4 linked regions of the Tamandua tetradactyla genome follow. The protein of the gene in region 1 purifies or fractionates together with the protein of each later gene. This does not show direct contact. Links are inferred from orthologs where the notes say so. Each region holds a gene or a part of one and is shown on either strand. Other genes may lie near its edges. The genes, in order: TNKS1BP1, CNOT2, CNOT10 and CNOT6L.

Evidence for each region.
Region 2: the proteins of TNKS1BP1 (region 1) and CNOT2 purify together in Homo sapiens (affinity purification with mass spectrometry; 5 studies listed by BioGRID and IntAct, with this or other methods). This does not show direct contact. The link is inferred for Tamandua tetradactyla from reciprocal best matches to the Homo sapiens genes TNKS1BP1 and CNOT2.
Region 3: the proteins of TNKS1BP1 (region 1) and CNOT10 purify together in Homo sapiens (affinity purification with mass spectrometry; 4 studies listed by BioGRID and IntAct, with this or other methods). This does not show direct contact. The link is inferred for Tamandua tetradactyla from reciprocal best matches to the Homo sapiens genes TNKS1BP1 and CNOT10.
Region 4: the proteins of TNKS1BP1 (region 1) and CNOT6L purify together in Homo sapiens (affinity purification with mass spectrometry; 4 studies listed by BioGRID and IntAct, with this or other methods). This does not show direct contact. The link is inferred for Tamandua tetradactyla from reciprocal best matches to the Homo sapiens genes TNKS1BP1 and CNOT6L.

Annotation. Positions count from the first base shown.
Region 1 is NC_135335.1:20,264,254-20,271,282, forward strand, and holds the start of TNKS1BP1 (182 kDa tankyrase-1-binding protein), read left to right. Parts: upstream 1-4,025; 5' UTR 4,026-4,195; intron 4,196-4,921; exon of another isoform or gene 4,922-5,033; intron 5,034-5,412; exon of another isoform or gene 5,413-5,484; intron 5,485-5,885; exon of another isoform or gene 5,886-6,097; intron 6,098-7,029. Other genes in the region: FACT complex subunit SSRP1, read left to right, coding at 1-45, 1,420-1,549, 1,991-2,161, 2,365-2,453, 2,985-3,171, 3,389-3,460.
Region 2 is NC_135333.1:138,799,247-138,806,836, forward strand, and holds the start of CNOT2 (CCR4-NOT transcription complex subunit 2), read left to right. Parts: upstream 1-4,581; 5' UTR 4,582-5,306; coding exon 5,307-5,374; intron 5,375-7,590. UniProt on the Homo sapiens protein: Component of the CCR4-NOT complex which is one of the major cellular mRNA deadenylases and is linked to various cellular processes including bulk mRNA degradation, miRNA-mediated repression, translational repression during translational initiation and general transcription regulation.
Region 3 is NC_135341.1:55,329,601-55,337,196, reverse strand, and holds the start of CNOT10 (CCR4-NOT transcription complex subunit 10), read left to right. Parts: upstream 1-4,583; 5' UTR 4,584-4,680; coding exon 4,681-4,870; intron 4,871-7,596. UniProt on the Homo sapiens protein: Component of the CCR4-NOT complex which is one of the major cellular mRNA deadenylases and is linked to various cellular processes including bulk mRNA degradation, miRNA-mediated repression, translational repression during translational initiation and general transcription regulation.
Region 4 is NC_135350.1:51,038,106-51,046,084, reverse strand, and holds the start of CNOT6L (CCR4-NOT transcription complex subunit 6-like), read right to left. Parts: upstream 3,007-7,979; 5' UTR 2,881-3,006; coding exon 2,876-2,880; intron 2,534-2,875; exon of another isoform or gene 2,236-2,533; intron 1-2,235. UniProt on the Homo sapiens protein: Has 3'-5' poly(A) exoribonuclease activity for synthetic poly(A) RNA substrate.

The sequences.
Region 1 (7,029 bases):
TGAGTCATTCAACCCAGGTGAAGAGGAAGAAGACGTGGCAGAGGAGTAGGTTTTGGTTGCGCCTTGTGGGGGTGAGATGGTGGCCTGTAAGCTTAAGAGTCGAGAAGATTTGTGGGCATTTCTCTTGTCCCAGCATTAGCCACTGACCCAGGGCAGAAAAGGAGTGTCCAGCAAGGTCACTTGAGAGGTGCTTCAAAAATAGTCAGGGCCCTTGTACGTGCAAGGCGCATTTTGAAGCTAGCACAGCACAGTGGGGAGAGATTGGAATGGGAGTCAACTGGGTGGCTTTGGGTAAATCATGAAGGCTCAGCTTCATCATCTGTAAAATGACAGTAAGTCCCTCCATGCTTTTTTTTGCCAAGACTCTTGATTGTTAGTGTCAGAAATACAACTCGAACTTGCTTAAGTGTAAGAGAGAATTTTATAAGTTCACGTAACTAGAGAGTGCAGGGATATAACTTGTATCAGGCACTACTGGACCTGGCCTTCAAAAGTTGTGGGGAATCTGTTTGTATTTCTTGCTTTTTGGCTTCCTTATTTCTAGGCAGCTTGCCTCATGCAGTCGCAAGTGGACTCCAGCAGCTGTGGGCAGGCTTAGTCTTACTGGTTTAGCATCCAGTGTGCCCCTTCTCTCAGAGCAATGGTAGTGAGCAGTGTGGTCACATACCCTTTCCTGAGCCTGAGATAACAGGGTGTGCAGGGCCTTTAGAGCCTGCAGTTGGGGTGAGCCCCTTCTGAGTATGGGAGAGGCAGTTTCAACAGAAAATTGAGACTGTATTAATCCACAAGTATTGGGAATGAATATTTGGGCTGCAGAAATACTGATGTCTCCTAGCACTGCTTGCCCCATCCTTAGGAAGGTGAGTGAGCAGAAGCTTATGAAAGTTCCTTGAGGACTTTGCAGCACCCACAGGTGTAAGCATCATCTTTTGAGGAGTTCTGTCTGTATTTGGGCAGGTGTTAACTACGTGGGTGGAACTGAGGCTGGCCTTTCCCACTTCTGGTAGCAACAGAGTTCAGCCTTCATCAGCAAAGGCTAGAGGGTAGATGAAGATGATTAACCACAAGGAAGTGCTGACGTGCTGGACGAGTATGAGGCGACGTTTCTGTCTGGGAGTGTGGGATGGAGAAGGGACCGGGTTAGGCGATGACTAAGGAAAGCAGCTAGAGCCCATTGGCTTGTTTGGTTTTTAACATATTGAGCGAATAACCAGTTACCATGGCTAGGACTGGGGAGAAGATGGCTGAAGCCCCCTCAGCAAAGGGGAGGAGGCAGGGCTGGCGATCGGTGGTAGAGGCTGCCCTGCGGTCTTTCTCCCTCTCTTCTAGGCAGGGGTCTTTGGATTTGTGTTCCTCCTGTCCTGAGGCTGCAGGGTGCTGCCTTCCCTTCCTGAATCTGAGTCCCGCTCTTTTTGGCAGATTCGACAGCAACGCCTCTGCCAGCTCCTCCAGTAACGAGGGCGACAGTGACCGGGAGGAGAAGAAGCGGAAACAGCTCAAGAAGGCCAAAATGGCCAGGGATCGCAAGAGTCGCAAGAAGCCTGTGGAGGTGCAGACTTGGCTCTAGACGGGAGGGTGTGAGGGGAGCCATTCTCCACTTCCCATCTGCCGCCAACAGAACTTGCCGATCGGCCATCCTGGGGCTGCTTTTGTGTAGCCAGTGATTAGGGCATTGAGGGTTATCTTCTTGGAAGTTTTTCTCTCTGGTCCTTGCCCTTGAGGTAAAGTTTAGCTCCTGGGCCATGTGAATCAGGGGTCAGGCCCAGAGAAAAGGGGGCCCCTACGGAGCTAGGCACTGGAATGCTGAGGGGAGAAGCCGTGCTGTTGCCCACCCTCGGGAAGCTCTTTGTGGCCTGCTATTCTTTGGTCCCCCTTTTTTTTTTTTTTAAACCCAAGTAGGTAATCTAAGTAATAGCTGTGGGAGAATGGGGGGGGCGGGGAGTGTCTGGGAAGTGGATGTCTGGAGGCATTTGGATCCTCCCTCGTGTAGGCGAAAAAAGGCAAAGACCCCAATGCGCCCAAGAGGCCCATGTCCGCCTACATGCTGTGGCTCAACGCCAGCCGGGAGAAGATCAAGTCAGACCACCCCGGCATCAGCATCACCGATCTTTCCAAGAAGGCGGGCGAGATCTGGAAGGGAATGTCCAAGGAGAAGAAAGAGGTAGCAGAGACAGGGGAGGGTTTACAGGGCTGGCGAGAAGGGCTTTATTGGGGTGGGGTGGGGTGAGGGTCTTGTAATTGGGACAGGGGGCACACTTGGGCCATTGGTGGAAAATTTCTGTAGAGGATGTTTTGCCTCCATGGGGGAAGAGGTCTCATTCTCTGTTCTACCCTCTCACATGTGTGTGTGTGTGTGAGTGACAGGAGTGGGATCGCAAGGCTGAGGATGCCAGGAGGGAATATGAAAAAGCCATGAAAGACTATGAAGGGGGCCGGGGCGAGTCTTCTAAGAGGTGAGTCTCTGGAACAAAATGGCATCTGTTTTTTTTTTTGGCAGAGATTTCTGCAGGTCAGAGTTGAAAGTGGAGATGTTACAGATATTTGACTGGCAGTACTTCTCAAAGCTGGGGGTGGGCAGCTTCCCAAGCAAGGTTAATGTGCTCTCGGGGGTTGCTGAAGCCACCGGATAAACATGGACTATTTCCCTGGATGGTCGATTTTATTTGAAGGTGTAAAGGAACATTTTTGTTTGTTTGTTTTAATTATAATGGAACATAATGCAAAATGTGCATGTATTTGTTCAAGATGATAAGTTTTGCAGGTGGAACTGCTTCAAGCTGTGACCCATTTCTTCTGGTGTATTCATTTAGGATTCTCTCCCTGGGACACTTTGGACTAACATGGCTGACAGTTTATGTCGTGTGAATTGGGCAACATTGCCTGGATTGGGAAAGGGCCCTCTTAAGACCAGGAGAGGTTTGGCCTAGGCGATGATGGGAAGGAGCCTGAAGGCCGACCCCTTTTTTCCCCTCTTGCTAATACAGGGACAAGTCAAAAAAGAAGAAGAAAGTAAAGGTAAAGATGGAAAAAAAATCCATGCCCTCTAGGAGCTCATCGTCTAAGTCTTCATCCAAGCAGCTAAGTGAAAGCTTTAAGAGTAAAGAGTTTGTGTCAAGTGACGAAAGCTCTTCAGGAGAGAACAAAAGCAAAAAGAAGAGGAGGCGGAGTGAGGTGTGTGGGAGTGTGTGGTGAGCGGCATCCGGGGGGATGTTCCTGGGCCAGGTGTTGTGGTTGGTCTGTAAGCGTAAAGGAGGTTGAGTGAATGAGTGGAATTCTGAGGTTCTGAAGGCGGATGGAAGGTGGATTGGGGGCCCTTCGCTACTGAGAAGTGGCTGGGAGGGCAGCCAGGACTCAGTACCCTTCCCCCTAAGAGGCCTTTGATTTTCAGGATTCTGAAGAAGAGGAACTAGCCAGTACTCCCCCCAGCTCAGAAGACTCGGTGTCAGGATCCGATGACTAAAGAGGAGGAACATTCTCTTTCTCTGCTTGTCCTGTCGCACCACCAGTCTCCCATCCCTGCTTTAGTACCAGTTTTCTCCTGACAGGAAATGTAGTCCTTGGAGTTCTGTGCCATCTGCACAAGCTCTCCTGGTTGGACGCACTTCACTGGGGCAGCAGGGGAGGCGTCTTACTCTGCTCCCTCATAAGGTTGGCTCTTTATAATTTGGGAAGACACTGGGTGGGAGGCAGGGCAATGTGGGGTCCAGCTCCTCAGCCTTAGGGATACTCGCTGCTGCTTATCCTGTTCAAGTTGCTGCAGCAGGGGTCGCGTGAGGTTAGGCCTGTAGCTCCTAACTGGGGCATATTTCTACATTTATTTTGTATTTCTGGTCTGTGAAAAAAAAACATTTAATAAAGGGAACTGACTTTGGAAACCATGTTTTTATGCTTTCTCTCTGGCCCTGTTGCATTGGCCCTACTACTGTTGGTGTTGTCTCCTGCAGTGCCCTGATTGGGCAGGCCTGCTGGCCAGCTGGGAAGCAGGTCTCCAGGTACATCCTGTCCTGTTCCCGACTGGCCAAGCATTGGTTTTCAACCTCTTCTGCCAGAATGGGCCACCTGAGAGTATAGAAATGAGAGCTGATGTGATTAGGAAGTCTTGCTCACAGTTCCACTCCATTAGCCAGGCTGATGGGAGGCAGTTCCTGGCTCCATCCTTCATCACCTATGAGTCAAGGGTCTTCCAAGATTTTAGGTAATTCAATCAGGATTGATCAGCCTCCCTACAAGGGTAGGGGTGAGGGGGAGTGGAAATCTGAGCCTGGAGAGTTGGGGGAGGAGGAGTGATGGGTGTTGGGGGGCGGTGTGCGCGCCTCATGGGGGTGCAGGGAAGGTGTGAAATGTGTGAAGCTTTTGTTCTTACTGGAGGAAGGAGGAATCCTAAATTTGGGGGTTGGAAAGTACCTGTATCTAGGAAGAGAGCCTAACAGGAAATAAATAAGGAGGATTCGTGGGAAAACAGCTGCTAAAGTCCTTACGGTGGGTATAAATGTGAATTTACGCACGTGGGGCGGCCACGTTGCTTCTAGTCCCGGGAGGACGCAACAGGAAACCTCGCTAGTCCTCCAGCGGGTACCGTCTTCGTAGCCGTGACTCTATGGCACTGCAATGTGCACAGGCGGCTTGGGGCTGAGTCCTGGGCTGTCCTAAGGCAGTCTCCTGTCCTCTCTAGGCAGCCGTCTCGGTGGCCATTTTGCCCAAAGCTCTTAGCTACCGAATTGCGTCAGTTTCGCCGGGGCTTGGACCCGGGGCGGTCCCTTCATTCGCAGGGTTCATGAATAATTGAGCACGGGGCTGCCTCTGTCTGCATCCGGCCGTGCGAGCGCGGCACCGGCTTCCCACTCGCGGCTCTGCTTTGGCTCATGAATATTCAGGAGGCGCTCCGGGGGCGTGGGCCTGGGCGGGGCCGGGGGCGGGGCCCCGCCGCGGCTCGCACTAGCTCGGTCCCTCGGTGACCGCGGTAGCAGCGGCGGCGCCGGCGGGGCTTGGCGTCGGGGCGCCGAGCCGAGCGGAGCCAGATCCCTGGGGAGCGCGTGAGTGACCGGGGACGGGCGGGAGCGCGAGGGAGGGGCGGGGTCCGGGGCAGGGGCGGGGGAGGGGCATGGAGGGGGTGGGTGCCTGCCCGCCCGAGCCCCGGCTGGAGCGGAGGGGGCTTCGCCGGGAAAGTTTGCCGGGGCCTGGGGCGCGGGGGTCGCAGGGCGCCCGGGGGGAGATGAGTCGCGTGTGTATGGGGGCGGCGGGCGCACGGGCTGGAGCTCGTGCTGGCGGAGCCAGAGGGGAGGGGGAGGGGGAGGGGGCGAAGGCTTGGGGCGGGGCCGGGGGCGGGCGTTGCTGCCGGGGCGACCCCCCCCCATCTCCCCTTCACCCGGGGCCCACACTGCCCCTGCTCCTTCGGCACGCCCCCAGCCGCCCAGCCCGCCCCCCACCCGGGCTGCGTCCCCAGACCGTCGTCTGCTCGCCGGCTGCTTGGTATCCCGCGCACAGGTCCTCCGCCTCTGTCGCCCCCTCCTCTTTCTCCGCCCGCTCCTCCTCCTCCTCCTCCTGCGCTTCGGCTGCCGCCGCCCCCTCTGTGTCCAGAGCTTCCCACTGGGCCCCTCCAGACGGCCCCTCGCCCCGGGCTGTTCCGTCTTGCCGTTGGTCCTCCCTCCTCCAGCAGTGTACGCGCTGTCCCTGGCGACCTCTCTGGCCCGGCATCTGGCCGGAGATCCCAGGGTCCGTAGGGGCGCACCCCCCACCCTTCCCCCACGCACCGAGACCCCTCGGGGCTCCCGCCCGGGGCTGGAGCTGCCCAGTGCCCCCCACCCCCACCCTCAGGCCTTCTGGCGGCCTTCACTCCCAAGGGTGGGCTCGTCTTCCCCGGACTCGGGAGGTTGGGGAGTGCTCACCGCCGCTGTGATTCTGCAGCTTCTGACTAGGGCCTTGACCACCTGGGGTCCCCTGGCCGGGGTCTCGGAGCCGCTGTGGGCCGACCCCCATCTGGGCCAGCCCCTCACATCCTGGAGGAGCTTATCAGGCCCCCAGCTGAAAGTATCTGTCGTTTCGGGGCCAGTTCATCCCCATTGGTAATCTCCCACACCATGTCCCTTGTAATAACGTTCAAGGACAAGGAAACAGTCTTGTGTTTTTAAATTTTATTTTTTCTGCCACGAGCCCTTCCTCCACGCGCACTTGGTTGCCGCCCTGCACGGCCATTCTCCCAGCCCCCCACGGGTTGGCCTGGGTGCTCCTTGGCAGACTGACCCTGCTGGCAGTCTTGGGTTCCCCTCTACCCTTCTCACACCCTCTCCCATCTCTGAAGCAAACTGGGGCACCGCCAAGGTGGGTGGGGTGGGCTTGGCAAAGGTTGGGCAACAGAGGTGGCTTCTTAGAGTTTGGGGGTATCTTCCCAGACGCGCTGGAATGGGGATGTCTTTCAGGGAGGACATGCTTCCTGCTGGGTTGTCCTCACAGGTTGCACGTCCCAGGTGATAGAAACCCTTCCCCTTCCTTTTGAATAGAGGGCCAAGGCTCTGAGTACCAGGGTGGAGTGCTGGGGTGGGGGGGGGGGGCTCTTGTGGGTGGGATGGGAACTGAGGAGGTGGTGGAGTATCTGGAGGACAGGTAACATGGCCCAGGCGGGCGTGTGGGAATGAAGAAATGGTCTGGGAATGCTGGCAGCTTGGGGTCTGGGGAGATGAGGTGGTTCCCGGGGATTTTGAAGCTTCTTGGTGACATTGCAAACGGAATAAGAACAAAATGGCCAACATTGACTGGGCCTCCTTCCTGTGCACTTGGGTTGTGCTAAGCGGTTTTGCATGTCTTATCTCACTTAAGCCTCCAGGCAGCCTTACTAGCCCCCATGTTCAGATAGGGAAACTGAGGTTTAGAAAAGAAAGCCACCTACCCAGGGTCTTGCAGCTAGAAAGTGGTGGAACCAGGCCTGGTTTGAACCCTGGTCTGTTAGATCCCTCAGCTCCCGTTACAGGTTTGGAGAAGGGCTACCCAAATGACCCCTACCCCAGAGCTGCTGTCTCCCCCCGACCCCCACCC
Region 2 (7,590 bases), on another chromosome or scaffold:
GCCAGCAGCCAGCCCCAGAATGCCCAGTCTTCTGGGAGAAAGCACTGCCTTGATGACTTCAAAATCAAGACTTTTATTCTTAAAAATACAAGCAATAAATATCCATTGTTTAAGCAAACCCATTGCACGTTTTTTGCTTTAGCAGCCAGGAAACTAAAAACCTGGCTTTAATAGAAGTTTATTTTTTTCACATCAAAATCTGGATGTAAGGTGTGCAGAGCTAGTATAGTGCTCTGATGCACAAAGTCCTCAAGGTTCCAGGTCTACCAGTTTAAGGTACTACCATCCCTAGGATGGATGAATTTGCATATGGCCATACATGGAAACTAGAATTACAGGCAATCACATCTTCATTTCAGGGTGCAAAATATACGAAGAGGAAAAGAAAACAAGGGCTAAAGGTGTGCACCGGATATATTTTTAAGGATGGTTTTGAAAGGGTGCTACATGACACTTCTGCTTATATTCCATTGGCCAGAACCATCTCATGGCTACAAGGAAAGATGGAAATACAGTCTTCATTCTGGACTATATCCATTACCATGAAACAAATGGAGCAATTTCAGGGAACTAAAAGTCTCTGCTACAGATTGGAAAGTGCTTAGTACCAGACAGAAATAAAAAGGAGGCAATGGAAAGGCAGGAGAACAAGATGAAGTTGGAGTGGTAGGTAGAAGCCATATCATGCAGACTTGAGGGCCATGGTAAAGAATTTGGATTTTATTCTATGTGCACAGGAAAGCCACTGAAGGGTTCTAATGAAAAGAGTGACATAACCTAATGAAACTGATTACTCTGGCTATGTAGAGAATGATTTGAAGGAATTAGGGGCAAAGTGGAAGCAAAGAGATAGTGTGGATATTGCAGTGGTCCAGCAAGAAATGACAGTGGCTCAGACAGGATGATGGGATTGGAGGTGAAGAAAAGTAGCTAAATTCAGAATATATTTGTAATTAAGAGCTGATACTGGCTGATGAGGTCAGAGTTTGAATGTGAGGGACAAGAGGAATCACAGAAGATTCCTAGTTTTACACTAGAGTGTTTTATGGAAATGGGAAAGACCAGGTGAGAAAAAGGTTTAGGGAATAAACAAGAGGAAGTCAAATGTTCCCGTTTTTTTTTGCATGAGCAGGCACCAGGAAACGAACTGGTTTTCCGGCATGGCAGGTGAGAACTCTACCTGCTGAGCCACTGTGGCCCACCCAAATGTTCTGTTTTAGACATATTAAATTGAGATATCTGTTCTTTCTATCCCTTGTTATAGTGAAATTTTCAGTATTGGTCCACCCCTTTTAAAATATGGAAGACTCTTTTCTACAATAGTTATATAAGGTACATGTTCTAGTTTGCTAGCTGCTGGGATGCAATATGAAAGAAACAGAATGGCTTTTAAGAAGGGGAATTTAATAAGCTGCAAGTTTATAATTCTAAGGCCAAAGAGATGTCCCAATTAAAACAAATCTATAGAAATGTCCAATCTAAGGTATCCAGGACAAGATACCTTGACTCAAGAAGGCTGATGAAGTTCAGGGTTTCTCTCTCAAGCGAGAAGGCACATGGCGAACACAGTCAGGGTTTCTCTCTCAGCTGGAAGGGCACATGGCAAACATGGTGTCATCTGCTAGCTTTCTCTCCTGGCTTCCAGGTTCATGAAGCTCCCCAGGAGGCGTTTTCCTTCTCCATCTCCAAAGGTCGTTGGCTCATGGATTCTCTACTTCGTAGTGCTGCAGCATCTTCTGCTCTCTCCAAATCCTCTTCATTCTCCAAAATGTTTTCTCTTTTATAGGACTCCAGAAACTTCTCAAGACCCACCCAAATGGGTGGAAACATGTCATCATCTAATTCAGCTTAACAACCACTCTTGATTAAACTACATCTCTAAGGAGATAATCTGATTAGTTTCAAACATACAGTATTGAATAGGGATTATTCTACCTTTATGAAATGGGATATACATACACCCTTTCAAACCAGCACAGTAGATAAGGTATTTTTTTCCCTCAGCCTACATCAGTAGTTTTCCTATAAAATGTAGAGGAATCTACCTTACATGTATTTTGAAAATATACAAAATACATATCTATAAGTACAGACTATTTTTCAAGTACAAGAAAAATCTATTAAAGAGAACAGAAGGGCAAATTTGTTAAATATTAGCAATAAACTTGTTAACGCAGAAGGACAATTTTTTATATGTACCATTTACTGACTGCTTACTAGCAAACCATAAATATACTAAGCCCTTAACAAATGTTGACACATTTAATACTTAGAATCACCCTCTAAGGTATGCATTAAAGACATTTTACAAATTTGTAATCAATCGGACACAAGCAATAGGACAATTAAAAAACTCTTCTTCACCAAGGCTAAAAGTGAAGTCATCCTAAATAAACAGTATTAAGTAAGCAATAGTATCAGTGTATTTTCTCCTAACAGTCCTAACCTAGATACTTAAATTCATGAAAATGTTTGCTGTTCCATTTACCTCTTCCAGTAAACAACCCAAGGTAACAAAATCCTCAAATCAGACCTGTCCTGTTTGGAAATGATTTCTCCAATTTTACTAACGTTTATACTATTTAAGACTTGTGCTCTTCTAAGTAAATATAGGAACAGTGAGAACAAGGTACACCATTTGGCCTTAACAGAGTTCTATATGTAAAACAAATTAATAGCTTAACATAGCAAACAATACTCGGTGTTTACTATATGGTTAGAAGCATGCGCCCAATTTTCATCATCTATCTTATGATTCCAAATTACTAATAGTTATACTTTCAAATTGTTAATAGCGAGATTAGAAGGCTCAGTAATGCTGAGTACTATCATATACATATACATACTTGATATGGAGGCATATCCAGTCAGCTTACCGTGGTAGAGGCCAACATCAGAGGAAGAGAAACCAGAAGAGGCCGGAAGGAACTGCTGGGGAAAACGGGAGGAAAGTAAGAACATAAAGAAATGTGTGTTGCTCCTCTCTGAATATTCCTGAAGCAAAAAGCACAACGAAGCAGAATATTTAATGAAAGGAAAGACTAACTGGGCAAAACACTCTCTGGCTACAACAGCATCATTTGGAGGTTAAATAAATTCATACAGTATCTACTGAAAAATCAAAATACCTTGCACTTCAAAGCATGACAATTACCTTTATTTTATAGTAAGCTTATTTTTCTTGTTATTTTTTACTGACAGAGAATCCTTTACTGTTCAATGACAAATTTTAAATTGGATTATAAAGGAATAAAGAGAGAAGATTTACTATTGCAAAGAAAGCTCACTTTGAGCTACGATTATTTTTCTGGAAAGCAGACTAATCCCCTGCAGTTCTCACCAAAGCCACTATAATTTCAAATGCCTTGCTGATGGCCCGGCCAATCACTCAAGTTTACATGGGAAGTGGGGGCTAGAGAAGCAGTAAATACCAAGCTCAGCTAGCGCAAACTCACAAAACAGTGCTTTAAAACAAGCAAACAAACAAAAAACTGCTCCCGCCCAAACTCCTCCCCCTAGATTTAGAAAAAAATAAAAATAAAAATAAAGGAAGGGCAGTGAGTAGAAAATAGCAATGGTTTCGGCAAAGTGGAACTCACTTCTCAGGAGGTGACGGTGACGTGCTGCCGGTGCCTGGAAGTGCGTGCAAAAGCACCGGAGGCTGCGGGGGCTGAGGAAGGACATGTGGACAGCGATCAGGTTTGCTTCAGGTGACGGGAGACAGGAAGGGCACCACTCAAGGTGGACGTGGGAGAACGAGGAATCCTACCCAAACACAAACACGCTCCGCATCCCCAGAGAGGGCTGACTGACGCCACCTCACCATTCCTCGAACCAAGGACCACGGCCCAGTCCGAAGCAACCAGGCCCTAGGGGGACAGTAGTGGCCGCAGTGGCTCCCGCTCGTCGTAACCGCCGCGGACGAGTGACAAGCTACCCAGTGTGTGGGGACAGAAACAGCGGAGGCCACAGAGAGAGCGGTGGAGAAATGAAGAGCCTTTTCTCAAACCCTCTCATGCCTACGGGAAGCTGTCTGCCCACCGCCTAAACCCGATCCATTCGGCAAACGTAGCTCCCACCTCCAGCCGCCGCCGCCGCCGCTTTGAGGGAAGCCGGAGCACGGGGGTCACGGCGGGGGTCAGAGGGTAAAGGTCTTGCTCCCAGCAGCCTCTGCGGTGGATACGTCGCCATCTTGGATCCGCGGGACAAGAAAATTCATGCGGTGAGTTTTTGGCAAATTTTCGGAAGTCTGGCAGCGGGGCACGCGGCGGGGACGGCGGATTCGGGGCCCTCGCAAGGCGGGGGAATGCCTCGGGGCCGGTCCGGTCGCGCCCGGGGTCCGCGGGCAGCGTCCCGGCCTGCAGCTTCCCTTTGCTTTTGTCTCGGCTCCAATCGAGAGGGAGAGCGGAGCGGGCGGGGAGGGGGGGTGGCGGTGGTGGAGGGAGGGAGGGGGTGTGTATGGTGGGGGGGTGGATGGGACGTAAAGCGTCGCTCTGCTTGGGCCGCTGCAGCGGCAGCTTGGGAGCTGAAGGCTGGGTCCCGCCCGCGGATGGCGGGGCTTCCCCTAGATTTGGCTTCCCCAGGCTCCCGCCGCCGCCGCGCTGCTTCCTGGGGAAGAACAGACGGCGGCTGAGGACCCCGGGCCCATTTTAAACAGCGCTACCACCTTCCTAGTAGCTGCTGCGGTCTCCGGATCCTCACATTATCTCGCTACATGCATATCACCCGCAACTTGTGTGTGTTTCTATATGTGTGTGTGTTTGGTGTAAGGTGGGGGGCACTGGATTGGCTAACGGGCCTCAGGCGTCTCCAGACCTTGGGATACCGAAGGCTATAGTTGGTGGAGGGGGAGTGCAACTGTGATGCTGCTTCTCCCACCGCACCCGGAGGGTGAATCTTCGGTGGTGGTGTAGGAACTGAGTCCGATTGGTCCTTGGGCGGCGGAGGAACCCGAGACGCTTCTGTCTGTGAAGTTGCTAGCCTTAGGTTTTCACTTCCGCCGGAGCCTCTTTACCTCTTGCTGCTTTGGCTCTAACTTAAAAGTTTCACGGAAGAAATGAGTGGGCTAGCAGAGGCCCTCGTAGTTCTTACTTGATCTCTGTGGTCCGTCTAGGAGATAGCCTCTAATTCTTGCTAACTATGGTCCATAGCGAATGCGAATTATAATTTTTCTTTAACGAAAGCGTTTTCTAGATTTTAGAATTTGTATTTATTTCAGAACTGTGGGTACGGTGTTCTTACCATAACAGTGTTACATACGGGTACCACTCTCGGAAGGAACCTAAACATCAATTTCGAATCCTAGGATGCAGCTTCACTTTTTAACATCCAGAAGACGCGGTGCAAACACATTCTGTTTCATTTTCATATCTTGGTCAGTTGATCCTACTCCATTCGTAATCATCTGAACGATTCCTAATAATTCGATACCCTGATATCAAGCCTTAAGATTTTTGGCTAATGGTAGGAAGTACTGAGCTTACAAAAGCTGTTCATGAGGGAGGCCAGACTTGAATTTGGATTTCAGAGTTGAACGTATTTCCTGTAATGTTTAATATTAGCAATTTCTAGCGCTCTAATCACAAGTGCAACTCATAATTTGCCTTTGACGCAACATAAGCGGGAATAATAAAGTATGAGGTGGGCGGGCGAGATAGAAATTTGAAAGTTATCTACTTACATATCAATTTTTTGTTGCGTTGTTTGGGAATACTTGGTATATTCTACAACACTTCTTTTGCAATTTTGGAAAGTGGCTTTTCCCAGATATATAAAGGACTGATTGAGAATCACCGCACTGAAGTAGTTAACGTTTCAAAATCTACATTCACATCTCTTTCATTTGCAATGTTTCTTAATCATTAGTAAACTTTGTAGGTTGAATTCCTCTGAAGTTTGCAGTTCTTTTGTAATATTAAATGCTAAAGGAAAAGGAAAGTAAAATGCTTTAAAAAGACAAAATTCCTTACACTCCATCCATTTTTTACTTGACTTTGTGATATGCTCAGTTAATTTTAAAAAGGTGGTCTCCCCACATTTTTTTCCTGAGAGTCTTTCATTTTAGTGATTTCTGTGACTGCTTTGCTATTTTGACAGGAAGTGAGAAACTGTATTTTACATTTTTTGCATCCTAAATAATCCTGCATCAACATAAGTAAGTTAATTAAAAAACCATTTGTTGGCAGATTTTGTTCAGTAAGTATATAGTAGAGATTTCTGTGGCCTAATCTGATACTGTTAGGGAATGAGAGTTGCCTGTATATTTAACTAACCAAAGAATGAAACTTTTTTTTAATTTTCAATTTCTATAACACTTCCGTTGCAAATTAAATTAATATGACGGAAAAATGAAGGCCTAATGTATAAGTGTGAGTAACTGTATCCCTCTCTGTTTGAGTACCTAATCTTGAAGCTAAAATAAGACTCAGAATGACATGCTTACCTAAAAGAATGAGAAACTTGTTTTAATACTTTATAACTTTAGATGTTTGATTTACTCTTTTCATTTTTCAGAGATGCTTTAGTAGTTATAACCTGGAAATTCTCTTTGTTCAAAAGTAAATCAATACTTAAGATTTATGGTGACATTTCATTAGAAATGCTTCTGATCCATTTGTTTTGTTTTTTCTCTCTTCAGTAGACATTGACATTCCAAGTAATTGTATTTTGAAAAACAATTGTAACATTTTTCAGATGCTGTGGGAAGTTAGTTTTGCCCTTTTTAGTGACAAATTTGCTTAAGATTTTCTGATAATACAGAAAAATTTTAAAACGTTTCCGTTGTATATATGAAATAATGAATAGATATTAATAGATTAGTAGAAACTTAGTTTATAATTTTTTTGTTCTTTGAAAAGCAGTGTTAAATGATAATAGTATTTTTTAATGTCTTAAAAAATATTTAACTGTAGAAAACTTAGTTATGATCATATATTTAAAAGCAAATTTTATCACATGTGCCTGCCTGAATAGGCATTTGAAGACAACTTATGCAAACATTGATACAGTCTTCCTTAGAAGAAAGATACTACTGAATATTTATGATTTTATTTGTTACCTGAAACTCTAGTGGATTTTGTAACACAAAGAAACCGAAATACTAGGTAGGGAAGTTTTAGAGGCAGAGTCAATCTGAGTTGCACTGTAATATTTGAATAGAATTATATACAATATTAATAATTGCACATCAAGGGGCCTACCTAGTGGTATGATTGTAGTCATTCAGATTGATAATACAGGTGATTGTTCTTACTAGGGATGATTTCTACCTGTGGTACTTATAGGAATTGAATTCATTATGATATTTTGGAAAGAGCTCTACTAAGTTGATGTTTATTAAAAGGAAAAGTACTGCAAAAACAATGAAATTAAGGTTTTACATTTCAAAAATTATTTTTGAATTTATACCTTGGTTTTGTTTACTGAAACTTTCCTCAATATAAATATATGTTTTCTGTTTCTTGTATTAGTTTTTCTAATAAAATCCTTGTATTTCTCTTGGAAAAACTCATCTCTTATCACAAACATGCTATACTGATATAGCTTGTTGATTTATATACTATTGTCTATTTTATTAGGGATGACCTGGAT
Region 3 (7,596 bases), on another chromosome or scaffold:
CTGGCCATTAGAGAAATGCAAATCAAAACCACAATGAGATACCTCACACCCACCAGAATGGCCATTATCAACAAAACAGAAAATGACAAGTGCTGGAGAGGATGTGGAGAAAGATTCACACTTATTCACTGTTGGTGGGAATGTCAAATGGTGCAGCCGCTGTGGAAGGCAGTTTGGCAGTTCCTCAAAAAGCTGAATATAGAATTGCCATATGACCCAGCAATACCACTGTGAGGTATCTACTCAGAGGACATAAGGGCAAAGACACAAACGGACGTTTGCACACCAATGTTTATCGCAGCATTATTTACAGTTGCAAAGAGATGGAAACAGCCAAAATGTCCATCAACAGATGAGATAGAGGGAATATATGAAAAACCCACAGCTAATATCATCCTCAATGGGGAAAAATTGAAAACTTTCCCCCTAAGATCAGGAACAAGACAAGGATGTCCACTATCACCACTATTATTCAACATTGTGTTGGAGGTTCTAGCCAAAGCAATTAGACAAGAAAAAGAAATACAAGGCATCAAAATTGGAAAGGAAGAAGTAAAACTATCACTGTTTGCAGACGATATGATACTATACGTCGAAAACCCGGAAAAATCCACAACAAAACCACTAGAGCTAATAAATGAGTACAGCAAAGTAGCAGGTTACAAGATCAACATTCAAAAACCTGTAGCATTTGTATACACTAGTAATGAACAAGCTGAGGGGGAAATCAAGAAACGAATCCCATTTACAATTGCAACTAAAGAATAAAATACCTAGGAATAAATTTAACTAAAGAGACAAAAAACCTATATAAAGAAAACTACAAAAAACTGTTAAAAGAAATCACAGAAGACCTAAATAGATGGAAGGGCATACCATGTTCATGGATTGGAAGACTAAATATAGTTAAGATGTCAATCCTACCTAAATTGATTTACAGATTCAATGCAATACCAATCAAAATCCCAACAACTTATTTTTCAGAAATAGAGAAACCAATAAGCAAATTTATCTGGAAGGGCAGGGTGCCCAGAATTGCTAAAAACATCTTGAGGAAAAAAAACGAAGCTGGAGGTCTCGCGCTGCCTGACTTTAAGGCATATGATGAAGCCACAGTGGTCAAAACAGCATGGTATTGGCATAAAGATAGATATATCGACCAATGGAATCGAATAGAGTGCTCAGATATAGACCCTCTCATCTATGGACATTTGATCTTTGATAAGGCAGTCAAGCCAACTCACCTGGGACAGAACAGTCTCTTCAATAAATGGTTCCTAGAGAACTGGATATCCATATGCAAAAGAATGAAAGAAGACCCATATCTCACACCCTATACAAAAGTTAACTCAAAATGGATCAAAGATCTAAATGTTAGGTCCATACCATAAAACAGTTAGAGGAAAATGTAGGGAGATATCTTATGAAACTTACAATTGGAGGTGGTTTTATGGACCTTAAACCTAAAGCAAGAGCACTGAAGAAGGAAATAAATAAATGGGAGCTCCTCAAAATTAAACACTTTTGTGCATCAAAGAACTTCATCAAGAAAGTAGAAAGACAGCCTACACAATGGGAGACAATATTTGGAAATGACATATCAGATAAAGGTCTAGTATCCAGAATTTATAAAGAGATTGTTCATCTCAACAACAAAAAGACAGCCAACCCAATTACAAAATGGGAAAAAGACTTGAACAGACACCTCTCAGAAGAGGAAATACAAATGGCCAAAAGGCACATGAAGAGATGCTCAATGTCCCTGACCATTAGAGAAATGCAAATCAAAACCACAATGAGATATCATCTCACACCCACCAGAATGGCCATTATCAACAAAACAGAAAATGACAAGTGCTGGAGAGGATGCGGAGAAAGAGGCACACTTATCCACTGTTGGTGGGAATGTCAAATGGTGCAACCACTGTGGAAGGCAGTTTGGCGGTTCCTCAAAAAGCTGAATATAGAATTGCCATACGACCCAGCAATACCATTGCTAGGTATCTACTCAAAGGACTTAAGGGCAAAGACACAAACGGACATTTGCACACCAATGTTTATAGCAGCGTTATTTACAATTGCAAAGAGATGGAAACAGCCAAAATGTCCATCAACAGAAGAGTGGCTAAACAAACTGTGGTATATACATACGATGGAATATTATGCAGCTTTTAGACAGGATAAACTTATGAAGCATGTAATAACATGGATGGACCTAGAGAACATTATGCTGAGTGAGTCTAGCCAAAAACTAAAGGACAAATACTGTATGGTCCCACTTATGTGAACCGACATACGAGAATAAACTTGGAATATGTCACTGGTAACAGCGACCAGCAGGAGTTAGAAACAGGGTAAGATAATGGGTAATTGGAGCTGAAGGGATACAGAGTGTGCAACAGTACTAGATACAAAAACTCAAAAATGGACAGCACAATAATACCTAATTGTAAAGTAATCATGTTAAAACACTGAATGAAGCTGCATCTGAGCTATAGGTTTTTGTTTTTTTGTTTTTTTTACTATTATTATTTTATTTTTTTCTCTATATTAACATTCTATATCTTTTTCTGTTGTGTTGCTAGTTCTTCTAAACCGATGCAAATGTATTAAGAAACGATGATCATGCATCTATGTGATGATGTTAAGAATTACTGATTGCATATGTAGAATGGTATGATTTCTAAATGTTGGGTTAATTTCTTTTTTTCCGTTAATTAATAAAAAAAAAAAGACGAGTAGCTAAACAAAGTGTGGTATATACATACGATGGAATATTATACAGCTTTAAGACAGAATAAAGTTGTGAAGTATGTAACGACATGGATGGACCTTGAGAACATTATGTTGGTGAGACTAGCCAAAAACAAAAGGACAAATACTTATGGTCTCACTGATATGAACTGACATTAGTGAATAAACTTGGAATATTTCGTTGGTAACAGAGACCATCAGGAGATAGAAATAGGGTAAGATATTGGGTAATTGGAGCTGAAGGGATACAGACTGTGCACAGGACTGAATACAAAACTCAGAAATTGAGGGCACTATACTACCTAACTGTAATACAATTATGTTAAAACACTGAATGAAGCTGCATGTGAGAATGATAGAGGGAGGAGGGCTGGGGACATAAATGAAATCAGAAAGAACGATAGATGTTAAAGATTGAGATGGCATAATCTAGAAATGCCTAGAGTGTATAATAATATTGATGAAATGTACAAATTTTAAAATGTTTTTGCTTGAGGAAGAACAAAGGAATGTCATTATTGCACAGTGCTGCAAATACATGGTAATTAATATTTTAAAATGTCACCTTATATGTGAGACTAAAGCAAAAAAATGTTTTTTACAAAATTAAAAAAAAAATTAGGGAATGAACAACCCCAAATATATCTCTCCCTTTAGTCTCACACAGAAGTTGAAGTTTTAAAATATGGACAATATCATCGTTTACCCAGTCTTCTGATATACCTTAGTCCTATCCCGATCAGCTTCATTAGTATCTCTACTTGATGTCTGATCAATTTTTCAAATTTTTAAACAGTTCTTGTTGGTGGTACTGCTGACTTTAATAGCTTCAGAGCTCTAACTTTCAGGGAAAGACCGTGTTATATACAAACAGCTCAGTATCTCAGAATTTAGAATTAACAGTTACACTTCCTGAATATATGTGACAGCTGTAACAGCTTACAGTCTAGGACCTTGTACAGTAAGTTCCAACCTGATAACCCAGGCTTTCTACTTTAGTTCACAGAATTTTTATATTATAGTTAGTTGATAAGATTGAGGCATGATAATATTTGTCTTTTTGTCCCTGAATTTCATTCAGCGTACAGCTCTTCAGGTTCATTCACCTAGTTGCATGCCTCACAACTTCATTCCTTCTTGCTGCTACTCAGTAGTCTATTGTATGTGTACACCATAATTTCCCCTTCCATTCCTCATTCATTGTTCCCTTAGGCCACCTCTGTTCATTATGGATCACAAACAGTGCTGCCAGAAACACCAGTGTGCACATGTCCATTTGTGTCCCACACTCAGTTCCTCCAGGTATATATTAAGCAATGGAGTTTGAGGATCATATGGCAAACCTACCCCTAGCCTCCTGTAGAACCACCACACTGCCCTCCAAGCGGCTGCACCTCTCATTCCCTACCGATAGTGAATAAGTATATCTCTTTCTCTGCGTTTTCTCTGGCACTTGTTTCTCTCTGTTCATTTTTAAATAGTTTTATTCACACATCATACAATCCAACCTAAGTGAATAGATATGCCTTCACCACCATACTCTATCAGAAGACATTTCCTTTTCTTCCACAAAGAATCCATACCCCTTTCCCAATCCTCCCACCTGTTGACATTTAGTTTTGGCATCCTTGTTATTTAAAACTTTTGTCCACGAAGGCCTGGTAAGTGTTTTCTGCATTAGATTTCCTTAGGCGTTAACATTTCTTTTTTCTTTGGGAACTTTTTTTCACTCAAACATCATTGGAGCTGTATTTTGACAAGCACAGCTTGGAGGGAAGCTCATGTTCCAATCAGATATGTATTGTTAACATTCTGTTTTGGAATGTGTTAAGCTTTCAGTTAACTGGCTTCTTTCAGTTTTCAAAAAGCAGTGAGTGCATTTCTCTTCTACTTAGTTAAAACATAAAGGGAATTATTTGGTTAGAAATGAAGTCTGTTGGCTTAAAGAGTGTCAGAGTTTGTGGATCAAAGAGCTCTGTACGCCGAGAAAGTCAGCCATGTTCTTTAGGTCATAGAGGAAGAAAAGTCAAGCTTATGGATGAACAGTCCTTTACTCTTTCGGTTGGCAGTGGGACAAACAAAGACATATTGTGGAATTATGTGCAGATTCTATCTGGTAAGAACAGTTTAAAAACTGATTACAGAAATAATGTCTAATCCTTGCAGAAAACTTGAAAAGTGCAGAAAGATAAAAGGAAAGTAAAGATAGAAATCCCATTAAAGTCTATTTTAAAAAAACAAAATTTTCATCCTGCAGTAAAAGAATTTAGGTAAAACCATAGTTGGAGAATATGTAAAAAGATTTTTTATTGAGCTCAGATCTCTGAAATGTATGTTCTTTTCTTTTCTAGAGAGTATTAGACTTTTACAATTCCTAGGGGAATAATGAAAGCAGTGCCTACGTGAGCCACTATACTTCAACTTCTTGGTGAATTACTGGGTATTTCCTTCTGTCCTTTATTTATGTCATTATCTGACAATGGGCATATTTTGGAAGAAGCTGTAGAGATAACTTGAAGGCATACTAAGAATTTTGGGCATTTGATTTAAACTGATTATGCAAGTTCTTATGAGGGAAGATAAATTTTTTTAATTAGTTTCCTGTTTAGATCTTAAGAAACAAAAAAGTATTAATTTTCATTGTTAACACTTTATTATAATTTTATGTTTAGCTGAGGATTTTGCTTTCAACCTAAGATCATTATCTTGCTTTCTGAGATCCTGAAACTCTGTGTCATATTTTTACTGATTTTAAAGTAATTGTTTCTTACAGTTTATTGTCCACATGAAAGTTTTGCCAAAGGACTAGTGTGTAGATAGTTGGTAGTTGTGCAATTAAACTCGTTACTGGCTTTCAATAGAAAAAAAGTGTTCAACATTGTCTTTTTAAATTGTTCGTTAAACTATCAGTTTTTCCTCCTTCCCTTTAGTAGTGAATTCTTAGTGTTTATTTGACTATGCTGAGATGGAAATGGAATACTGATTTATCTGCTAACTTTAATTAGCAGAAATAAACATTTCTAATTTAAAAAAAAGCCTTTTGTAGGGCAGATCTTAAGGCTTAGATAAGTTCTCTTAAGTAGAAGTTATATATTTAGTATAGTGATGATTCTCAAAAGGGTTTCTGATCTTCAAGGAGTTTCATAGGGCCTAAAAAACTGTTCCATAATCAAGCCACTTTAAATTAATTTGTTAATTTGTATGTTTAAAGTGCAGAAGTCAGTACATTAAAAAACATAACTGCAAGAATCCTTATTTCTGGCAAAAGAAAAGGGGGGAGAGAATTAATGTTTATTTAGCATTTCCAATAAAGGGCAGGTAGATAGCCAATGAAAGACTAGACTAAAGATGTGATTTCAAAGCTTGTGCTCTTAATTATATCATGTTGCCTTCTTTAGAAAAGGAAGTTGGAAATCTTTAGTGACTTCTCACAAGTGCCAGGCAAGTGTTTCCCAAACTTAACTTGCTGAGAGTGTTGGTTCTTTGAGATGCTTCTGGAATACAGGTTTATAAATAGTTATGAAAAAATGCCATTAGCATACATACAGTGTGATGAATTCTCATACACCAACCACACCCATGTAATCAGCACTCAAATTAAGAACCAAACCATTACTAGTACCCCAGAAGCCCTCTGCACGCATCTTTTGGTCACTAGCCACCCGAAGATAAATACTCGCCTAATTTCTAAACTCATTTATATTAATTTTGAGCAGATATTCTTTAAAGAGTAATCCATGTTTGTTATGATAATTTAAACAAACATTCAATACATTGTTTTAGTCAGTGGTTTGGATTCTTAGACTTTTATACCAACAGCACAAGCAACAAAAGAAAAAAAAATTGGATTACATCAAAATTAAAAACTTTGCATCAAAGGATATCATCAAGAAAGTGAAAAGGCAACCTACAGAATGGGAGAAAATATTTAGAAACCATATATCTAATAAGGGTTTAATATCCAGAATATATATAAAGAACTCTTAAAACTCAACAGCAACAGCAAAGACAATACAACTTAAAAATGAGCAAAGGACATGAATAGACAGTTCTCCAAAGAAGATGTGCAAATGGCCAATAAACACATGAAAAGATGCTCAACATCATTAATCATTAGGGAAATGCAAATCAAAACTGCAGTGATATGCTGCTTCACACCCACTGGGATGGATTTTTTTTTTTTTTTTTAGTAGAAAACAGCAATTGTCAGTGAAGATATAGAGAAATTGGAACCCTTGTACCTTGTTGGTGGAAATGTAAAATGGTACAACTATTGTGGAAAACAGTTAGGCAATTCAAAATGTTAAACAGAGAACTACAAAATGACCTGACAATCTCACTTCTAGATATATACCCCCAAAAATAGAAAGCAGGGACTCACAACAGATATTTGTACACTGATATTCATAGAGACATTATTCACAAATGTAGAAAGATGGAAGCAACCCAAGTTCCCGTCAACCAATGAAAGGATAAACAAAATACATACAGTAGGACATTATATAACCATAAAAAGAGATGAAGTTCTGATCTTTACTACAGTGTTAACCTTGAAGACCTATTGAGTGACAGAAGCCCGGCACAAAAGAACAAATGTTGTATGATTTTACTTATGTCAAATAATTTGAATATGCAAACTTTTAGAGACAGAAATTAGAGGTTACCAGTAGATTAGATTAGAGGTCAACCAATGTATGTTGATTGGGGAATGGGGGGTTAATGCTTAAAGGGTATAGAATGTCTGTCTGGGTGACAGGAAAGTTTAGGTGGTGGATGGAGATGATGATAGTGCAACATTGAATGTAATTAACACCATTGAGTTGTATATTTACAGGTGGGTCT
Region 4 (7,979 bases), on another chromosome or scaffold:
AATCTCTCAGTTACCTTTACCTTAAACTACATACCAATCTTTGCCTACCAAAATACGGCTAAAATTTAATGAACACATTTATTACTCCACACATAGTAGTAAGAATGGAAGATTACTGTAAGGTAAACATATAGAAGATTTTAGCTTACATTCTGAAAAATATTCCAAAGAGTTCTGTTTAGTGGAATTAGTCAACATGCACTAAAATAATTACACAGCAATTTTTGTATACTTTGTGGATTTATATAAATAAACTCTGGTTCCTTGGTTCTTTTTAATGATTGATTTATTGGAACACAGATGTACTTACATAACTTTAAATTTTTTCCAGGACTACATAGCAAGAACTAGTAAAAAGAATAATGAAAAAGAGCTGGGCTATTTGCAAACAGAAAAAATTAAGTATGACTATTTCTCTATAAAGTAGTATATTAGGCTATTTTAATGGCAATCTATTTCTAGAAAAACAACTTCCAACATACAATATTCAAAAGCTGTTTATATATATATATGTACACACCTTATGAAAATCAAAATTCTAAAATGTTCTGTTTAGATTTTTTAACTTATAGTTGCATAATATTGCTTTGGTAAATGAGTATCTGTACTCATGTTTTTCAATGAGTAATTCATTGAATATTACTCTGTAATTAAGGGAGATAGAGTAGAAGGGACCTCAACACCGAATATTCCCGAGATTTGCTGCTTTGATTCACTTTCCCTCGGGTCCCCCCACCCGCCAGAGGAGAATGCTTGCAGTTCCAACGCCAAAATAAGCCGTCGCCTCTCCCTCAACTGTTTTTCAAATCAGTAATTCACAATATCATCACTTAGTTGCATATTCATCATTTCTTAGAACATTTGCATCAATTCAGAAAAAAGAAAAAGACAACAGAAAAAGAAGTAAAACAAAAACAGAAAAAAAAAAAGATTATACATACCATACCCCTTACCCCTCACTTTTTCATTGATCACTAGCATTTCAAACTAATGTTTTTCAATGCCCATAGTCAGGGCTGCAGGAGGAGGAACTAAAATTCAAGTAAGCATCTAAAATGTGCCAAACATGTTTCTCTATCCTCATAACAACTTTACTATGAAGGTTTTAATTATCCCTCTGTTACAGATGAGAAAACTGAGACTTACAGATATTAGGTACCTTGCCTAAGGTCAAACAGATAAGAAAAAAGGCACAGCTAATGTTCTTAGGTCTGTAAAACAAATCCTCTTTCTACTAAATTGCATGTGAAAAGCTGTTTTTCCAGTAGTGGTAACAGAAAACAGCTCTCAGTCCCTCACTCCCAGTGAACAGCATGCATTATTTCTCTGTCAGACCAGGTTTAGAAAAGAGCAATCTCTGGCCATTATACAGAGCACTGACTACAAGTCTGTATCATGACTTCTAGTTCTAGCTAAATGAGCTAACTAGATACAAATGGAACCGGGGCAGAGACTATAAAGTAAATCAGCAATAATTATCCAAATACCATTTACATTTGGTTTTAAAATGCACTATGTCCCTATTGGCAGATTTATCTTTATAACTGCGTTTTATTTAAACTACTCTCAAGAATAGCTTTCCATGAGCACACACAAAACACAACAGAGGCCACCTAATCTTGGTTTTAGAGACTAAGGAAACTGTGAGGAAAAGGTGTCTGTTGTGCATGACTATCTTGATTGACAGTTAAGATAACTAGGGGCAATAGGTAGTCTCTCTTAAAAGGCAGTACTGTACTGTACTTTCAATGTGTAGAAACGGCTTGGCTAAACTCCCCGAACACAACTCATCTAAACAGCCTGAGCTAAACAGTCAGCGGAGTTAAGGAGGATGACAGCTTCAGTAACTTCCTCTTCCTCATCAACCTCCCTCAGCTTAGCGTGTACACGCCTTTCCCCCTAGGAGGCAGGCTAAAACAATTTCAAATGCACAAAATCGATCCAAACCCACCAATACCATAGGCCAGCGAGGCCAGCTTCCTTTTCTTCTCGCGTTCCTCCATAAAAACATAATAATTTTAAAAGCATTCATTTTACCAATGAGAAGTATTTGCAAAGAAAAACGCAAATATTTACTCAGTCACTCCACACCCCTTAAGGGAGATAGAGTAGAAGGGACCTCGACACCGAGTATTCCCGAGATTTGCTGCTTTGATTCACTTTCCCTCGGGTCCCCCCGCCCGCCAGAGGAGAATGCTTGCAGTTCCAACGCCAAAATAAGCCGTCGCCTCTCCCTCAGCAGACGCGGAGGCGGCTGAGGCGACTAGAACAGGCGTGTCCCGCCTCCGACCCTCACCTGCCCAGGCCGAGGCAGTGCCCTGGGCCCGTGCCGGCCTGACGTCCGGGTAGGCGTCCCGGGAGGCTGGCGGGTGCCGAGGCAGTTAGGCCGCGCCGCAGAGAGGCGCGTTTCCTGCCGCCGCCCGGGAAACCGCGGCACGGCCCCAGCCAGCAGCTTTCCGGGCCGGGTCTCACCCTCCCCGGCCCACGCCGAGCGACTCCCACCAGCGAGGTTCGGATCCCTCAACCACAAAGGGTGAGGCACACGCCACTCGGGGGTCCCAGACACACGGAACCCACCCCCGGAGTCCGGGCTGTAAGCGTCGACCACTCCCCCCCACCCCCCCACCCCCCACACACACTCACACTCAACCCGGAACCTCCTCTCGCCTCCGGACTGAGACGCGGGTCAGCCTCATCCGCCCTCTCCAGTCACCCGACACACACCCACTCGCGGTGGGTCCTCGGACCTCCTCCCCGCCCGCCAGGGTCCAACTCGAACACCACACACACATTTGTCCCACTCCCATCTCATTTGCCCGAGAACGCGCTCTCTCTTCCTAACACCCGCGATCCTACTCCTTCAAAAACATTCTACCTCATTCTCTTCCTCTGGCCCAGAAGGAGCAACAGCAGCCATTTCCCCGTGGCGGGGGAAACACACACAAACGCGCGCGCGCGCACACACCAGGCTCCCACAGATGCTTCCCCACCAGAGCCGCGGCCGCAGACGCAAACACAAACACCCACGGGCGGGCCTCTCTCCCGCCCGCCCATAGGAAGCTACCCCGGCAGGCAGGGCCCGGGCTCGCGAGCGGGAGGGTGCACAGGGCGCCCGAGCCTGGGGTCGCTGAAAGGCCTGTGCCCGGTCCTCACCTGCATTCAGCGCGCCGGGGTCCGGGCGGCGGCGGCGGCGGCGGCGACGAGGCGGCTGGTGCTGGTGCTGCGGCGGCGGGGGAGGCGGCGGCGGCGGTGGCGGCGGGGCTGAGGGCAGCAAAGACATGCAGGCAGCCCGCCGGGGAGAGAGGCACCGGCCGGAGGGGACGCGGGGCAGGCGGGCCGGGCCGCCCGGGGAACAGCAGAGGCGACGGCTAGGCGGACGGCTGAAGGAGGCGAGAAGGAGACAAATCCCGGGACCGGGAAAGGGACGAAGGCCGGGCCGTCGGGCTTCAAGGAGGTTGACCCTGGGCGCGCAGGAGGGGCCCTGCGGCCGCCGACGAAAAGGGCCCCGCCGGAGAAAAGTGCGCCCCCGCCAGCCGCCGGAGCCGCTGCTGTTACTCCAGGAGCCGCGCAGAGCCTGGCCTTGGCCTTGGCCTCCTGGCGCTGGAGCTACAGTCGCTGCGGGGGTTGCTGCTGCGCCTGCTGCTTCTGAGGCCGAGCCTGCTGTACAGAGACGCCAGCTTTCGGTGCCTTCGCTCTCGCTCGCAGACGTTCACACCCCCGAGGGCCGGGGGAGAGGCGTCCGGGCGATATCGGTATTGAGATTAATAACAAGGTGCAGAGAGTGCGAGAAGGAGGAGAGTTGATTGACGTGGAGGGGATGGCGGGAGTCAGTCACTCCCCTGCGCTGAGGGGTGGGGTGAGGGGAAGGAGGCGGAGCAGCGCCGGGGCGGAGCTCCAGCGCCGCGTCTTGGCCCCGCCCTTAGAGTACTGTGTACTACTGTGCTGCGCGTGCGCCTGTGGTGGGCTGGGATCTTTCCCCTTTTCTCTTTCACGCTTGCTGTTTTCTTTCTGTTTTCTTGGCTTAAGTGACAAGCAGAGCTGGGAAGGTTGGTGGGCTGTCAAAAGCAAGCAAACACAAAGCCATCTTGACGAAACCGCCTCGTCCGGTATTATTGACTGGACTCAGCGTTGCGCACTCACCTAGGGCGGCCTGACGGCGGAGCCAAGCGTTGGCCTGGGTGGCTAATGAGACACCAGGTGAGGTGATCGAAGAAAATGCTTCTTACCTCATCAGTAGGCTTTTTCAAAATGTGGAACATATGTGAGTTGTGTAGTGAAAGGTAAATGAAAGAACCTGTGACGCTCTGCGATAACCCCGTCCCATTTTCTAATTCTCCTTTCTCGCGATAGAATTACCTTTATTTGGCAGTTTTACCAGTGGCCGCTACAGAATGAAAATATTAAAATGTAAACTAGAAATACTAAGGTTTACTTGGTGCATGTGATGTTGACATTTTAGTTTCCTGGGGCTTAATTTTGTTTTTGTGCGTCAGCTTCTACTTTTGCCACTAGCAGGTCCAATAAACAAAGCTACACTGGCTCTGGGGCAGATACTGATGTTGCAGTTTTGCACAATTTCAGTCTCTGGATGCATGCTTCAAGCTTGTGTATTAACCATTGTTGGTCAAGGGTATATTATTAGTGTTCAATAGTTTTTCCCACAAGAATGTTATTTAGCACACCAAGCACGTTGTCCTGGCTGCAATTATCTCGGGCCCTGTTATTGAATGTAAAATGCCTTCATCCCTTGGGAAAAAAAGGTGCGGTGAAATGCAAATCATTGAACCAGAACTGAAAAGCTATAGAAAGAATCCACCACTGCAGAACAATTCCAACACTTTCTCTTTTTCACCAGAATGTGTGAGTGATTGAAGAAGCCTGTCAGGACAGATAAGGCCTCTGACTTTGTTTACTTTGTTTTCCATGAAAGTTAAGTTTCCATTTCCCTCCCTAGCAATACCAGACCGTGCCAACTTCTGTAAAAGGTGTCAAAATGGCCTTAATCCAGGAAAAGTCTCATTGGATCCCAACTATCTTGAGTCTACACTATAAAAATGAATAATTATCTTGGACTTTGTCAGCAACAAAGCCAAACAGGTCATTTCAGGATCCGGAATGGTTAACCTGCCTTAATGGCATCTTGCCACAGCCTTTCTCCTTGTTACACAAACTCTCCTCCCCAAAGAGAAATACTACCAAATGCTGAAGTAAAGAGATACGCTCCAAAACAATATAAATCTGTTCATATTAAGAGTTAGGAATAATGGATTTTACTGTTAAAAAGGCCAACTGAATATAATTTAAACAGTGTTCCACTCTCAGGGATGTTCCCTTTATACCGTAACAAACAGATTGACTTACTGTAAACAGAAGGAAAACAGTACATATATTAATTAGTATAACTGCATCATCTGTAAAACAGAGTGCTGTTTTTCTCGTTTTTAAATAGTTGGCAGCAGACAAATTGTATTAGCTGAGAAATTAAATCATTGTTGTTATCAAAAATTACTCCCTCATAAGACTCCAATCAAAAGACAAATACCAGCAACAACGACAAAAGAGTAGCACTTTAGCCATTAAAAAAACCAGCAGTTTTTAGTAGATCAAGGTTTAGAACAAAAAAGCAACCTGTTTTTGGTATCTTTTCAAATAAGGTTTTCATTAGAATTATTCATGTTTGTCAGATATTATTTTTATTAAGATTAGACATAAGAAGACATCTACCATAGATGTTTTCATCCAAAGAAGGTGGCTTTACTGATTGCCTCTGCTCTCTGTGTCCATCAACACTCTCTTTCCATCATCCTCCCCTTTGTTCTTTACCCCAGAACAACCATGGGTGATATAAAGAACTACCTTAGCCAAAGACAAACATTTTCCACCATTGGTATTATTGTGCAAAGTTCATCTCCGCACACCCCTTCTCAAGTTTCTTGATCCCTGAGTATTCTGAATCTCCACCCCAACTTTATCACTCTCTCTAGTATTTCTTTATATTCCAGAAATTTTCTACTAGGCAAGCACCGCCGCAACCAACAACAACAATATATAACCAGTGCCTCAGTTTATCAAGGACTTGGAGATAACTGGCATGCCGTCCAATCAATAAAATCAGTTTTACTGCTGTACTCTAAGGATTTGGCAGGTATGTTTCAGTAGCCAACTCGAGTACACAGAGAACAAGTAGGTGGGTCCTCAACTAGAATATCTTTTGTTTTGCGTATTGGTCATTGATTTCTCAGCCAAGTAACCTTCCTTTTTTTTGTGGATAATGCTCCCTTTTGGGGGCAAACTATTCTTGCCTGTACCATAAATAAGTGATGCTAATGGTAACTGTGGCCCACAAGAGTCCCCCACCTTCTTAGGTAAAGGTGGGCAAATTGACTCAACCTGAAGCAAGCAGAATTCTTCCCCAGGATGCATTCAGGGAGAACTAAGGGAAGAAAGGCCATTCCACAGTAGTGGTATATACCCAAGAAGGAAGTCTGAGTGGCTAATGGCCACATACTGCCTTTTATAGAATGAAGCCAGCCACAGAGATGAGAAGTATAGAAAACAAGTCCTGACAGTGCTCCAGTCTCTGTTTCCAGTTATCCCTGAAGTCCAGCTGAACTTTTTCCATATAGTGTATAGTTAAATTAACCTAGTGTATTCTCTTCAACATTTAAAATAACTTGCATTGCATCTCAGTAACCAAAACATCCTAATACATTGTATTTCTGCGTGAGAGTTCTTCAGAGAAGGCTAACTGCTACTAAAATAAGTTTGAAAATCACTGAACTAAATTGCATTAAGACATTAACATTTGCGGAATACTCATCTACCAAATTTTAAAGATCACCTAGTCCTACTTCCTCATTTTCTGAAAGAGTAACTTGAGATAAAATGACTTGCTGAACATCACCCAGGCAAGTCAAAGGCCAAGTCAATGTTAGAAACTGGTCTCTAGATACCTAGTTAAGTTATTCTCTTCATTATACTACTCTGTCATCTGTTCATGGTTCCCAAAGGGATTTTTTAAAGGCAATTACTTAGAAATGCAACCTTAACTGAAAAAAATACAGCACAACAATGGTAATTTCAGACACCAACTGCAAGTGGGAAGATATTTGGTGACATAGAAGCCTTAAAAATGCCATTTCCTCTTTGAGCCCCTCAAAAATTTTTCATTTTGAACCCAAACACACTCTTTGAGTCTTATGTTGTCATATCTACAACTTTAAACTACCATCTTTATGCTTACGACTCCAAATTTACATCCTTAGTCCAGAGTTCTTTCCACACATTCAGATCTAAATTGCCAATTTCTCCCTGGATATTTCCCCCTGGATAATTTATACCCATATTTTGAGCTCAGTATGTCTAAAAGTGAGCTCATTGTCTCTCTTCTAAAATCTGTTCCTGGCATTGAATGACTCTCATTAAATTTAGGAGCACCATGCTAATGGTCATGTAATCACTAAATGGTCATCCAATACAGAATCCTTTTATATTATGGATTAACTTTACCCCCTCATTAAGATCTACCAGTTCTACATCTTATACATTTTCTTTAATCTATTCCCTCTTCTCCGTACTGATGCATTACCAATGTCTTAAGTCAACCTGTCACATACCTAAATTTTGTATTTTGTGTATTAATTTGTATCCCTACTAAGTATAACCCTAACTTCCTCCTAAAACATATTATGTTCATATTACTTTACCCCTTAAAATCCTTCAACATGTCCCCGTAATTGATACAATAAAACCGAGTTTCACGAGCATACATGTTTCTTAATGACTTGCCTCTCTCTTACAGCCACCTCCTACATCCACTTAACCATCATCTCTCATTCCTCCCTTTGATGAACTACTTGTTATTTGGCAATAAAACATGCTATTTCCTTAACATGGTATGCTCCTTTCCATTTTGTCCTCCTGGAAATCATCCTTCAAATTTTTGCTCAAGCAACATTTCCTCTGGAAAGCCTTCTCTA